2 linked regions of the Xenopus tropicalis genome follow. The protein of the gene in region 1 purifies or fractionates together with the protein of each later gene. This does not show direct contact. Links are inferred from orthologs where the notes say so. Each region holds a gene or a part of one and is shown on either strand. Other genes may lie near its edges.

Region 1 (6,334 bases):
AATCCTGAATTTGGTAAGTGCTAATTGACATCCCTTATTTCTATAGGCCCAAAACAGAAAGGACATTGAGAAAGTTTTCTTTATAACCTTTGGCTGGATACAGAAGCTCTGCTACTTAATTGCCATTTAATACATGATCATCCTGCCTTCATAGCAAGAAGAAAACTAGTCTCCAATGACTGGGTCTGAAAAAAACACATTATTATTATATTATTCTATTTCACCTTGGCTTTGCCTTTTCCACGTCTTTTTGGCGTGTCCTCTTCATAATCCTCATCATCCAAGTCATCTAAGAAATCATCAGGCTCCAAGATACGCTAGGGGAATAAAAGGATACAGTTAATGTAAAGAAAGGCAAGTCACAGATTGTGGTTAATTATCCTACTTCTTCTAACCTGAAAAACACTGCAAAAAATACCATATCCTGTATACATTTAAATGGAAGCAGCTTGCCATGTCTAAGCATTTTGACCTATGTCACCGGCATTTTGACCACTGCAGTGCCTTAGCATCTGCTGGAGAACTGCAAGGGTCGATATCCAAAAATCAGCCATCACCACTTTTTCCATAGCGACACATGTTAAACATTCCACCTATAGCAGACAGAGATGGTTACAGAAGACCATGCTCAGAAATGCTGAAGTTAGATTTATCCTGGTTGTTAAATTTTAAGCATTTTGACCACCAGAGTGCATTGGTGGTCAAAATACCCCATGTGACATAGGTGTTACAAGGATAATATAGTAAAGATTAAGCATTACACCCTTTGTGCAAAAACTTCTAAACTAGGCACCGTGATTAATAAAGCTACCAACAGCTACTAAGCATGCATCAGTGACTAAATGCCCAAGCGGCTTAGAATCTAAAAGCCTATGATATTAGAAATGGCAACCATTTGTCAAGGTTCATGATACAGTTCTGTCAAACAAATACTTTTCCAGTATGATTTTAGTCATCTATCACTTTACTTGGCCTAGTTATGTCACAAGCAAGCAACTAAAATAAATTACCAATAATCTAATATCACAGGAAAATGTCACACAGTATATATTTAAAAGAGAAAATTATTATTACAACCCTTTCTGTAAGTCTAAAACTTCAGGTGATTATTTACGGAATACTCCTTCCTGCTCTACTTCGTAGCAAGTTGTATTGTGACCTTTTGTGGGGAGGTTTTCACATAGGATATGTTTACAGCAGTGCAATGAGCATTAGTAAAGGATCATTTAGTAAGTAAAAATCAGCAAACAAGAAAGACTAGTTTATGCAAGCAGAATGAAAATTATTCATATGCTGTTTTCCTCCCAAACAGGCAACTCACAGAAACTGATATAGCGAACATTAGACTAATGCTGCTGTCTATTCCCCCAGGCTTCATGCTGCCTCGCTGTCTTTACCGTGATTATCCCTTTTGCTACGTAGCGCTGCCGCTCGCCGTAGGCCTGTACCTTCCGTGCGCTTCTGGAAAGAGGAGGGAACTCCGTAAGGCTGTCATCATCCCGGGGGTCTGGCATAATTCTCTTCTCAATGGGGTCTGAACGCAGAAGAGCTTCAAGGCTACTGCCATCTGGTGGTATTAAGCCCTCTTTCTTTAACATCTGTTCGGGGTCTGAAATGCACAATAACCTTAAGTTTTGATAAAGATATATTCTTTTTTCCATTGGATTCCTCTAAATTACCAAAAATCAATGGACATTGTTTATCATGCACATTCAACATTTTTTAATAGTGCATCCATTGTCGAGGTAAAGTGAAAATAGTCTAATAAATGTTCTGCTATTCTAAAAAGAAATTGTATTTGCTCTAAATATATCTTACACATCGGAAGACTGTTGGTTTTCTTACTAAAAATTACCACAAATCTAAAGTCTGCAAAATATAATAATGCCTTTTTTATTGCCTAACATTTTCAATGTAAGGGGAAAAAACAAAGGTTTGACCTGCCAATTGTTTTACAGACACCTCTTTCATATATCTCATGAAAGATTAGGTATACAAATATTTGTTCCAAAATGTTCATCACGATTATATCAAAACATGAAAATAAAATGAAATTCCCATTAAGCCATGAAACAAGGCCCTACTGCTACTTGACAAGAACCAAAGAACTATACTGATTTTCTATGTCCTCTAGCACAGTCAATTAATATTCTGCAGGTTTAGCTATGTAAAGCAAACAAGGCTAAACTTGGACTTGGTAAATATTGTAACACGTGATTACTGTTGAAATTTGCACTGAATAATTGAAAATATTGGTGTGGAAGAAGTGTGCTGTTTCGCTTTGTTTTAAGCCAACAAGGCTATGACTAACAAAATGAACTGTAACTATATTCCAGGCTGGCCCTGTGTTGCTATTCTCAACAAATGCCTTTTTTGCTTTGTGTATGGAAAGTGTATTTACAAGACAAAAAGAAAAAAAAACTCACTAGCCCTTAAGTGCAGTGTTTTGATTTCAGTGATGTTGGGCTCAGAAAAGCCTGCCCCCTTTTACCTGGTTTGAGAGATGGGAAAGAGAGCCTGGGATCTTCAGGGGGATGTGCCCTTCTCTTTTTGCGCCAGCGTCGAGATGGATATGTATAAAGTTGCCCTGGTGCAGAACCTTAAAAACCAAAATAAAATAATTTACCAAAACATAGGTAATGCTTTTTTGGGGGGGAGGGGAGGAATAAAAAAAACGCAATCATTTAGTAAAGCCTCAGTAAATTACCAATAATCAAAATCAGCATATCTTTAACCCTTTTCTGTAAAGACATCTGATAGAGGATTTATACAGAATGTATGGGATAAAACTTCCTTTTGCAGTTGTGTTTCTATACAAAAAGTAGGCTTCTTTCTTCCTTTTCTGTATCCCTCCCCTAAAATTAAACTTAAAGATGGGCACAAACTAAGATGACATTGTGCCCAACTCATGAACATGCTCTTTCCTTACTGATGACACAGCCAGTACTTCCAGTACTTCAATTTTTAATTAAGGGCCTTAGTAACTAAGGGACAGAAGGTTTGAAACCTGGTGCCTGCAGAATAGATACTTAAATTAATGTCCAAGCATAAAAAGCAACGTTTGGAGTAGGTTTCCGAAGAATGCCCTGAAATCTAAAATGCTAAATCCTGGCAAGGGTAAGAAATTACCTGGGCATAGATAATAAACTTCAAAATATTCCATATATTTCTGTGGTATTAGTATGGTTTGATAACACAAGTACATTTTCAGTAGCACATAATCTGTTATACCTTTGAGGGCTGAGCACTTTCAAGTCTAAACCATATACACATTAAGACCCTTGAAAAACTTTTCTTGTGAATTGCAAGGATTCTAGGTCCTCAGTACATTCATGGTCATCATTTAAGTTTCAGCTCTGCGAAAAGTGTCACAGTTATTATTTTAAATCAAGGCCATCTGCTTGAGTTTGTTGCAAGCATAATTAACAGGGGCTTGCAACTTCTGTCAATTCTTAAACACATGGGAATGTACAAAAGGGATCTTGCAGCACTATGCTATGCAGGGCCAGCAACAGACAGGTTAAGAAGCTATACAATCTTACAGGACATAATATTTTACCTGGCCCACGATGTCTCTTCTCCATCCAAATGTAGCAATTGCTTTGAGCCACCCCTGTTTGAGAGTCTAAGAAAGGCATTCGGACACTGCGCTCAGCGCACAGGCGAGCATTATAATTGTGGCACTGCTCCATGGCATCCTTGTAATACTGTTCTCCAAGGCTAGAAGAAAAAATATATATATTTGTAAAGTTATGGGATGTGAGCAAATTGCTTCACTCGCTTTAAACTGGAAGCCTGTGTGGTGGTTGTGCTGAAATTATCAATGGAAAACTATTTCATCAGAATTAATTTTTAACAGATAACGCATATCAAAATAAAAGAGCTCTGTCCATTCACTAGATATATATGTGGGCCCATCATTTCTGTGTGAGCACAGTGAAGGTGGCCAAACAATCAAATTATTATATATGTATATGGGCCGTCGGATTAACAAGCCAATGTAGTCCCCGATCTGATGGGAAACTTAAGTGACCACCTCAAGATTATGCTCTGGAGCAGTGGTCCCCAACCAATGGCTCAGAAGCAACATGTTGCTCCCAATAGCCTAAAGAAGGTGCTCATTATTGAATTATTGACCCAGAGGAAAGTTTTGATTGCATAAAAACCAGGTGTACTGGACAGTCTTCTGCAGGCTGCCAGTCCACATAGGGGCTACCAAATAATCACAGCCCTTATTTGGTACCCTCAGGTACATTATTCATTCTTGTGCTGCTCCACAACTTTTTTATCCATTTAAATGTGGCTTAAGGGCAAAAAAGGTTGGGGACCCCAGCTCTGGAAAAAGGCAATAATAATTTATAACAAAAAAAAATAAAAAATAAAGATTGTGCCAAACCAACTAACTTGTTTTGTTTAATGTAGCAGATACATTAAAAACAGTGGGGCTGCAGTAGAGCTAACTGGTCTTTGGCAAAAGGTTTTGATACAGAGCTGCATAAATGTTGGCTTTCTAAATAAATGTCTTTTGGTCTTGGTGATGCTATTTTTGTAATGGATGAAGAACTGACTAAAGGATTGTGTAGTGACAGTAGCTGGCAATGGCAGATTCTAGTTAAACTAGGATTCTGTGCGCCCCAGCTTCTGCACTGGGTTTGTTTATATTTCATCTGTTCTTTACCGACACAGGTTACACTGGAAAAGAAATGCTTAATGAGAAAAACAAAATGCCAAGGCCCCCAACAGCAAACTCCATTAATGAAGTTTCATGAATTATTACACCTGCTTGGAAGATACCATCCGTCTTCATTTTTGCAATTCTAAGCTGTACAAAATGCAATCAGTACAGTCCTTCCAGCTAGCCTGCCCACAGGATTAGGTTGAAAAACTGTAGTAATGTAGGGCAGCGTTTTTCAACCGCCCCCGGTCCCCTCTGGGACACCTTCCACTTCCTGGCTCCCTGATGCCCGGAAATCGTCACTCCGGCATCGGATCCAGGAGGGCGGAGCAACCAGAGAGGAGAGGCAGCACTATCCTGCCCTGGCACAACCCGACCGGGGGGAGCAACTGCCCAGGCCCTGCCCCGACAGACCAGATCCACCAGGGGCCAGGCCCATGCACAGCCGCCCTACTCCCCACCGGAGGACAATCCCGGGACACCCCTGTATGCCGCAGCCTGACATGTAAGAAAACAATTAATAATATATATATATATATATATATATATATATATATATATAATATAAAATTTTTGTGTGTATAAAAAAAAAAAAAAAATCAGTGGGGGGGTGGGTTTGTGGAGAAAATGTCCCGGAAAATACTTTCTTTGTGTTTGATTCCTATTCAAGAGAATTACTTTATATATAGTCAATATAGGCACAGAGTTAAATTTTTTAACATTTTCTAATGGTGGTGTGCCTCGTGATTTTTTTCATGAAACAAATGTGCCTTTGCCCAAAAAAGGTTGAAAAACACTGATGTAGGGACCAGGTTTCGGATACGATCTAAACCACTACAGGTTAAATATGTAATAATGATGGCTTGAATACTGGCCATAAAGAATTGCTACATTGTGAGATAAATATAACTTACCCTTTTGATTGCACTTTATTGCTGGATAAAAGCATTATCTAAAGAACTAGCCACAGTGAGTTCTCTACACCTATAAACCTGCTGCACCATCCTACAAATAGCATATGATGGATCAGAGAAGCCTTCAACTAGGCCTGGGTTCCTCAACTATGGGTGTATTTGGCAGAAACTTGTCATACTGGCCAAGTCACCCTTAAGCAGCCAGTTTACAATCCTAAATTAAATATAGCACTATAGTAAAACATCGTAATGAGATGTATCACTTTCACCTATTTACAATTAATACTAAGCAAGCTTAACTTATCTGTGTTCACATTAATATCTGCATGGCAAGCAGTTAGAGAACAATTTGTCTGGAACAAATTGAAAATGTTACATTGTACATCTTGCACAAAGTACATTTGTTTGATAATGGTTTACAGTAGATGTTCAGTTGTTACAAAGAGGATTTAACATGTTACAATTTGCTGCTTTAACACAGGAAGGAAGTGCAGTGATACTATTACATGGCTGTGGGCCAGACCAGCTCTGCTCTGGTGTATGGGGTTGTGCCATCAATGTGTAACACTATACTCTTAGGGCTGGGCGATATACCGTTTAATACCGAATACCGGTGTTTTTTTTTTTTTTTTAAAACTATATTCATTTTTCTGATACCGCAATACCGGGGTGTCAGGGTACTCACCCGTGCGCGTGTCCCGTTGTCTCACGGGACGTTGCGCACATGTCAAAGTGTGCATGTCCG
Region 2 (6,334 bases), on another chromosome or scaffold:
AATGCTGCATTATGGTAAAAAAAACACATGCCGAATGCACTGGAAATTGCACCTTGTGCACTGCACTTGCAGTCGCAAATGACCCCTCATAAGTAAACATACACATCTTAACCTCTTTTAGACAGACATAAATAAGAAACTTTGGTGAAATTTTAACAGCTTCTTTTAACAGGTTCATAATGCTGGGAATGGTGATGGAAAGCAAGCTAAAAGCAAACTGTGCTTTTTCATTATAAATGTCATTCAAAGAAAATAGATTAAAAATCTCTCATTTTGATTGCAAAAAGCAGAAGAATGTATAATTTTGTTCATAAACAGAAGCTTTGTATTCATTGTTATGTTACTCAGGCTCTGAATCTGACAGTGTTACTTGTGTAAAGCCTGCCAAGCAATTACATTCTCCTGAATATTACTTAGTTGGTTGCCAGGTCTAAAATTAAAAACAGTAGAAGTTCTGTGCGCTTTTCATTTAATATTTCATCCTAAGTTATATGACACACATGCATAAATACACATTTATGCATAGACACATATATTCATACATGTATATATTTACAAAAGCTTATACACATGCATATATACATATACACACATAAACATGCATACATTTAGTCATATAGCCATTTAGGATATAAGGGAAGTGTAGGGCTTTTATCTGGGTTGTAGACCAGTGAAAACAGGGGAAATTATTTAGAGGCAGTGTTCAAGGTTTTGCAGTTCAAAGAATCAACAAGCTATCATCATGAATCTGTATTAGTTAACATGAGTGGGCCTTTCCATCCAATAAAAACAACAGGAGCCACCGCTTATGTGCTAATTCAGCCAAACTTATCAAACTGCAGGAGACTGCAAAGTACCACACAGTGCAAATTGGAGATTGTTCCTACTGAAGCAAATAATAAAGTAGATGCCAGTGTGGTGTGCATTGCCATTTACTTTATTATTTGGTTTACATTCTGTTTCTGCTTGAAGTAGCAAAGGGAGAATTGCTTTTCCTTTTGCACTTTCTTAGATATCTTAAGACTTGTCCCTGTTTGTTATTGTTACTAGTGAAGTCAGACCCCAGTAAAGTCACCGAACACAAAAACATTCAGATCTGTTCAGAGTTCTTAAGCTGTTTCCAATATATCTGGTGCCATTGAAATGACTGGATGTCAGTGTATTAAGGAACAGATCCGGACACTTTTGTAGAGGGGTGAGACCATAATTAAATGCAGAAACTATATGATTGGGAGATGTCATATAGTGATAAAATACTGTTAAATCAAGAGAGAAGTGTACTTGTCCTGCTGGAAAGCATAAATATTTCAGTAGACCTACACTGAAAATGTTACAATAACAAACTGTTAACCTGCCAGATATAGCAGTATACTTTATATAAATGAGGTATAGAGGATTTATTTAACAGGTTTTAAATTACATTCAGAATACTTAGAAAACAATCATACATTACCTTTCTTTGTCTTATTTGCACTTGCTGGAGGAAGACTGATTTCTGATTGATTGATTGATGCACTGCTGCTATTTTTGGCATGTGCTCCCTAATCTTAACACCTGGTACTACTCAGGGCAAATTTGTTTCTTCTGTGCCATTGATTCCATGAGGCAAGTTAGAAAGAGATACTTACCTCAGTTGTCATTTTACTGCACTGAAACTGTAATTTGTTTTGTTTTTTAACTGGAAATTCAGCCTTTTAGTGTAGAGATCAATCTGTCATTGGGTCTGCTGGTCTTAGTGACCAGGCCTGGCTGCACTCCACATGCATCAATTTGGTTTGGCTGATTGTGGTCATAGGGCCAAACCATTGTTAAGTGAATGGCTCCTTTGGGAGGCAAATACTCTTGTACCATTGGTTTGCAGTTGGTCTATGAAGTATGTGGTCATGCTTCTACTTGGTGCATGAAAAAGCCACAAGCAGATTCCAAAGTAAAAACTGTCATAGTTCGCTACCCCATCCATTCAGATAAAATTGTTGGTAAATACAGATGGTCATATCAAACAGTATGTAATTCTGTTGTCCTTGTAGATTTACTGCACTGTTTAAATGTTTCTAGGATCCAGTTTGTGGTAGACTTGATTTATAAACACATGTGGTGACAAATGTTCGAGAAAATGTAGATGTATTTAACATGCATATTTATGATATCTAATGACTATATTTTAGGCTTTATATCTGCTGTGCAAAGGAACAATCAAATACCGCAGTATGGACCTCAGCATACTGGCCCACCGATGTCGCCTCATCCTCCTCCTCCTGGAGGCCAAATGCATCCTGGTATGGGCAGCTTTCCCCAGAGCAACTCAAGTGGCAGCTATGGGTCTCAGATGGGTCAATATGGACCACAGGGTAAGGTGTAAATGTCAGATTTAACATTGATGCTCAATGACAAAGTGTAATAAATGGGTAATAAGTTTAGTTTATATTAGAATATATATTTTTATTATGTTCAAACTACTTTAATCTTTAAGGCAAGAAACCAGACTTACTCATTCTATAGGTGACTCAAGTGCTTAGCTGAAAAGGTACATTTGAAACAACCTCAGGTCCTGTTTCTTTAAAACAATTAATGATTAATCTGTGATATGCATAAATTATATTAGTTTAGGTTTAATGGTAGAAGGTTTCGTTTTAGGTTTACTGATATATAAATTAAAATTTCCTTAACAAAGGCAGGCTGATAGTAGCATTGAGTAATAGGGGGAAAGCACACTTTTGCAGCCCTGTAATAAAATATGAATATAATTCAACAGATATGGATATGGCAAAGTTCCATTAATTGCTATAAGAAGTCTTTCAAAGTTGGAGTAACTTCAGATCCCATATTTTGTCAACTTTGGGCTAGTCCTGTAAGCAGACACTGGAATCTGAAGTCATCTTGGGTTGAGAGTAAGAGTATTGTGGTATAAATCATACTCACATTGACATCTGCTGTTAATGACAGGGTCAGCTTACAGGGGCTGCCCCCCAGACAGAAGTTCCCCATCTTTTTGCTAGGCAGCAGTTGTCTGGAGAGTAAAAGCTGGAACTACTTTTTTTACTACCTTACACCATCTTTTAGCAGATGTGCGATCCTAAAATCAGTGGGGCTTCTAAGTGCTGATTTTAATCACTGCAATCTTGCTCCACTCATCTATTGCTCCTACAAGTTTGGAACAATTTACCATCTGATTAATTATTGCAGTTGTTTAGTTCTTGTTACAACAAACTGCTAAAACCTACAACAATACATTTCTCTGTGTCTTCTGCAGTGATTGTGATCATTTGAACTGACTAAATAGCAGTCATATATAACAATAGGCACTGCTCCTTTGAAAATAACACACTGGATTTCCCTTTCTTTTAATAGCAAAATGAACTGGGTGGAATAAAACTGACAGCTTTGATTAGAAGTCGCGCATTTTGCCTTGGGTGGTCTAGCTAACTTCAGTAGTAACTTATGAGCAGAAATGAATGTAGGCTACTTGTGCCCTGAAGCTTTTTCTTGAAAAGCTTTGTGTTATATATATATATATATTTTTTTTTTTTTTATTTTAACCTCTTCACTAAAGGTGGAATTGTCTACAGGCTGCAGCTCCTGCATTCCGTTTTCATATGCTATGTTCTTTTTTTTTCTAATTCAACAATAACCACATTTTTAATTTCAGGATTTTTTCTGAGGTGCTCCTCACAAATGGAAAAAAAGGATGGGGATAAGCCTATTTCATATTACAGCTGACTTATTAACACCATGGAAAATTGCATTACCAGACAACCTCAGATAGCATTTGGCAATGCAGAGCCATAGTTTAGTTTAGTTTAGTTTTAAAAGGAATAAATTAAGTTGTCAGTAGGCCCCACATTTTTTTCAAACTAAAAGTACTTTTAAGGCCCAGTTTCTTGTTGTTTGCTTCTTGAGTTTAGATCTTTGCCAGTGACATAAATGCCAGCCAGTCATTTGCAGTGAAATTATTTATAGGTTTTTTGTTTTTTTTTTGTATTAAAGGCAATTATTCAAGGTCACCATCTTACACTGGAGTCCAAAACACAAGCTACAGTGGTCCTGGCCCAGGCATCAATATGAATGCCAACAGCCAGATACATGGACAAGGGCCAAGTGGATCTATGAGTATGGGCAGGATGCCTGGGAATGCAATGCAGAACAGGACATATGCCACGAATATGGGTAACTTGCCCCCCAACTCTTCCAGCATGTCGCAGCAAGGAACTCCAGGAATGGGACCACCAATGCCAACTGTGAATCGTAAGGCACAGGAAGCGGCTGCGGCTGTGATGCAGGCTGCCGCAAATTCTGCCCAAAACAGGTTTGTTTCATTGATAGTATATTAAATAGCACTGAGTAATAAGAAGTGTCTTGTAACCAATCCAATAAGAATAGTTGTAGAGTGTGACACTCTCATATATTTTTGTTATCAACTAAGCAAGCAAGTTACCAAAAATTTACATTAATGCAGAGCACCTTAAAAATGAATTAAAAATAGCTCAGAAACGAAAGGGGAAAAACTTGTCACTGTCCCCACAAATAGCACAACATATATACAAGGGAATAAACCTAGGCATTGGTAACTAGAAAGTGCCTACAAAAAATGACATAATACATACAGGAATGCAGTAGTCAATACAATCATTTAATTGTGGTCACTCGCTGGTTATAGTTAATAACAGTTGCCATTGGTCACCAGCTATAATCTATGATAGACACATGATATAGATCACTACTAGCAAAAATGTGCATGCTTTTATACAATAACAGATTATTATTTAAATGTTCCTACCTGGTTTGAATTCCATAAATAGTACCATTATTTTACGGTCCTTCAAAGCTGGCATCACCATTTCAAGTCAATAGAAAACATTTTGGAAGATTTTGGCACAATAAGTGATGTAGCTGAATGCATCAATTAATGTAGAATTTTAACTGCTGGCTGCTTTTATGCCAGAATTTACACTTGGTATTACTGTCATATAAATATGCTTACTTTAAAACAGTTACCCTAACCCCTGCGCTTCTTAACCATCGGCTGACTTGCCCTGAGGTTGGGCAAGGAGCTTAAAGGCCCAACCCCTATCTCTTCACCTGATATAAAAGATGATGTCAGGGAGGGGGAGGGCTGTGGTAACGCCACATACAGTACTGTGCAATGGTGACCCTACCCAACCTGCACCTCTTTTACTGACCTCTTTTAGGAAGCCTTGGTCCTTGAATATACTAGCCGTTTAGGTGGCATCCTTGGTGTTTGCAATAAGGGAACAATGTATAGTTATATACAAATGACTTCATGTACAAACAAAAATTTCCATTTTAGGTCCTTTAGCTTTTGAATCCACATAAACGTATGTTTTTTGACAGTCAGTATTAGGTAGTTTCAGCAAACTAGCTGGTCTGTGCTTTACAGTTTATATAATCTATATTTTCTACCAGGATACTGCTATGTTTACGTCATTAGTGCATAGTATATGTATATTGTATCTACACGTATACAAATGAGTGAGAGCTGAAATATTATTTCCTTTATATAAAGCTGGGCACAAATACTGATAAAATTAGACACTTTTATCAGTTTGACTTAAACTAGTTTTCATTCTGATTTTTCTGCCTGTCTGCTAAGGTGATTCCAACTAAATATGCTGGTAAATATGCTCAGATGAAGATTGAAGGGGGAGTGTAATTACATATCAGCTGAGCATATTTACTGACTTTACTGCCTGATCCAGTCATTCAGGTGACTGCCAAAGGCCTGGCATGGATCCTGTATCAACCCTTCAGCTCACAACATGTGTTGCCAAAAAGGTAATCTATTATGCAACCACGCTGGTGCCAGCCTCTAAGCATTCCCTTAGCAGCATCCTCTTATGCCTCAAAACATGATGTTATATTTATGGTATTCTTTTATCAACAATGGGCAAATTTGCCCTATTATGGGAAGTGATATGGCAGTTCTCTTTCATATATATACTTTTGAATTAGCTGGCAGACCCCTAATTGATTTCTTTTATTAATTTCCAGAAAAACAGAAAGGTAACTTGTACTTACAAATAGTTTACCTCTAAATGCCTTAGTGAGCAACTCTCCCACTGTGCTGGAAAGCAGGATCTGTAACAGTCCTAGAATGAGGTCTTCATGAGACTCAATGTGGAAAATTAGGACATTACATTGAATATATATATAAACAATTCAGTTTCTGCCGATGAGACTAATATTTAGTGCAAGAAAACGGTCACATGCTTATGTTGTAGGCGAATTGTATCCAATAATGTAAAATAGTAAGTAAAAGAATAGTGTAGCTTCAGGCTTCAATGACTAAATTAACTGTATATTTATAAGCAGTGCACCT

What was found.
Region 2: the proteins of dpf2 (region 1) and arid1b purify together in Homo sapiens (affinity purification with mass spectrometry; 7 studies listed by BioGRID and IntAct, counting the BioPlex papers as one, with this or other methods). This does not show direct contact. The link is inferred for Xenopus tropicalis from reciprocal best matches to the Homo sapiens genes DPF2 and ARID1B.

The regions. Positions count from the first base shown.
Region 1 is NC_030680.2:32,337,316-32,343,649, forward strand, and holds part of dpf2 (zinc finger protein ubi-d4), read right to left. Parts: intron 6,331-6,334; exon of another isoform or gene 6,316-6,330; coding exon of another isoform or gene 6,275-6,315; intron 3,721-6,274; coding exon 3,560-3,720; intron 2,600-3,559; coding exon 2,492-2,599; intron 1,610-2,491; coding exon 1,449-1,609; coding exon of another isoform or gene 1,398-1,448; intron 318-1,397; coding exon 225-317; intron 1-224. UniProt on the Homo sapiens protein: Plays an active role in transcriptional regulation by binding modified histones H3 and H4. Is a negative regulator of myeloid differentiation of hematopoietic progenitor cells. Might also have a role in the development and maturation of lymphoid cells.
Region 2 is NC_030681.2:52,264,009-52,270,342, forward strand, and holds part of arid1b (AT-rich interactive domain-containing protein 1B), read left to right. Parts: intron 1-2,165; coding exon 2,166-2,348; intron 2,349-3,984; coding exon 3,985-4,303; intron 4,304-6,334. UniProt on the Homo sapiens protein: Involved in transcriptional activation and repression of select genes by chromatin remodeling (alteration of DNA-nucleosome topology).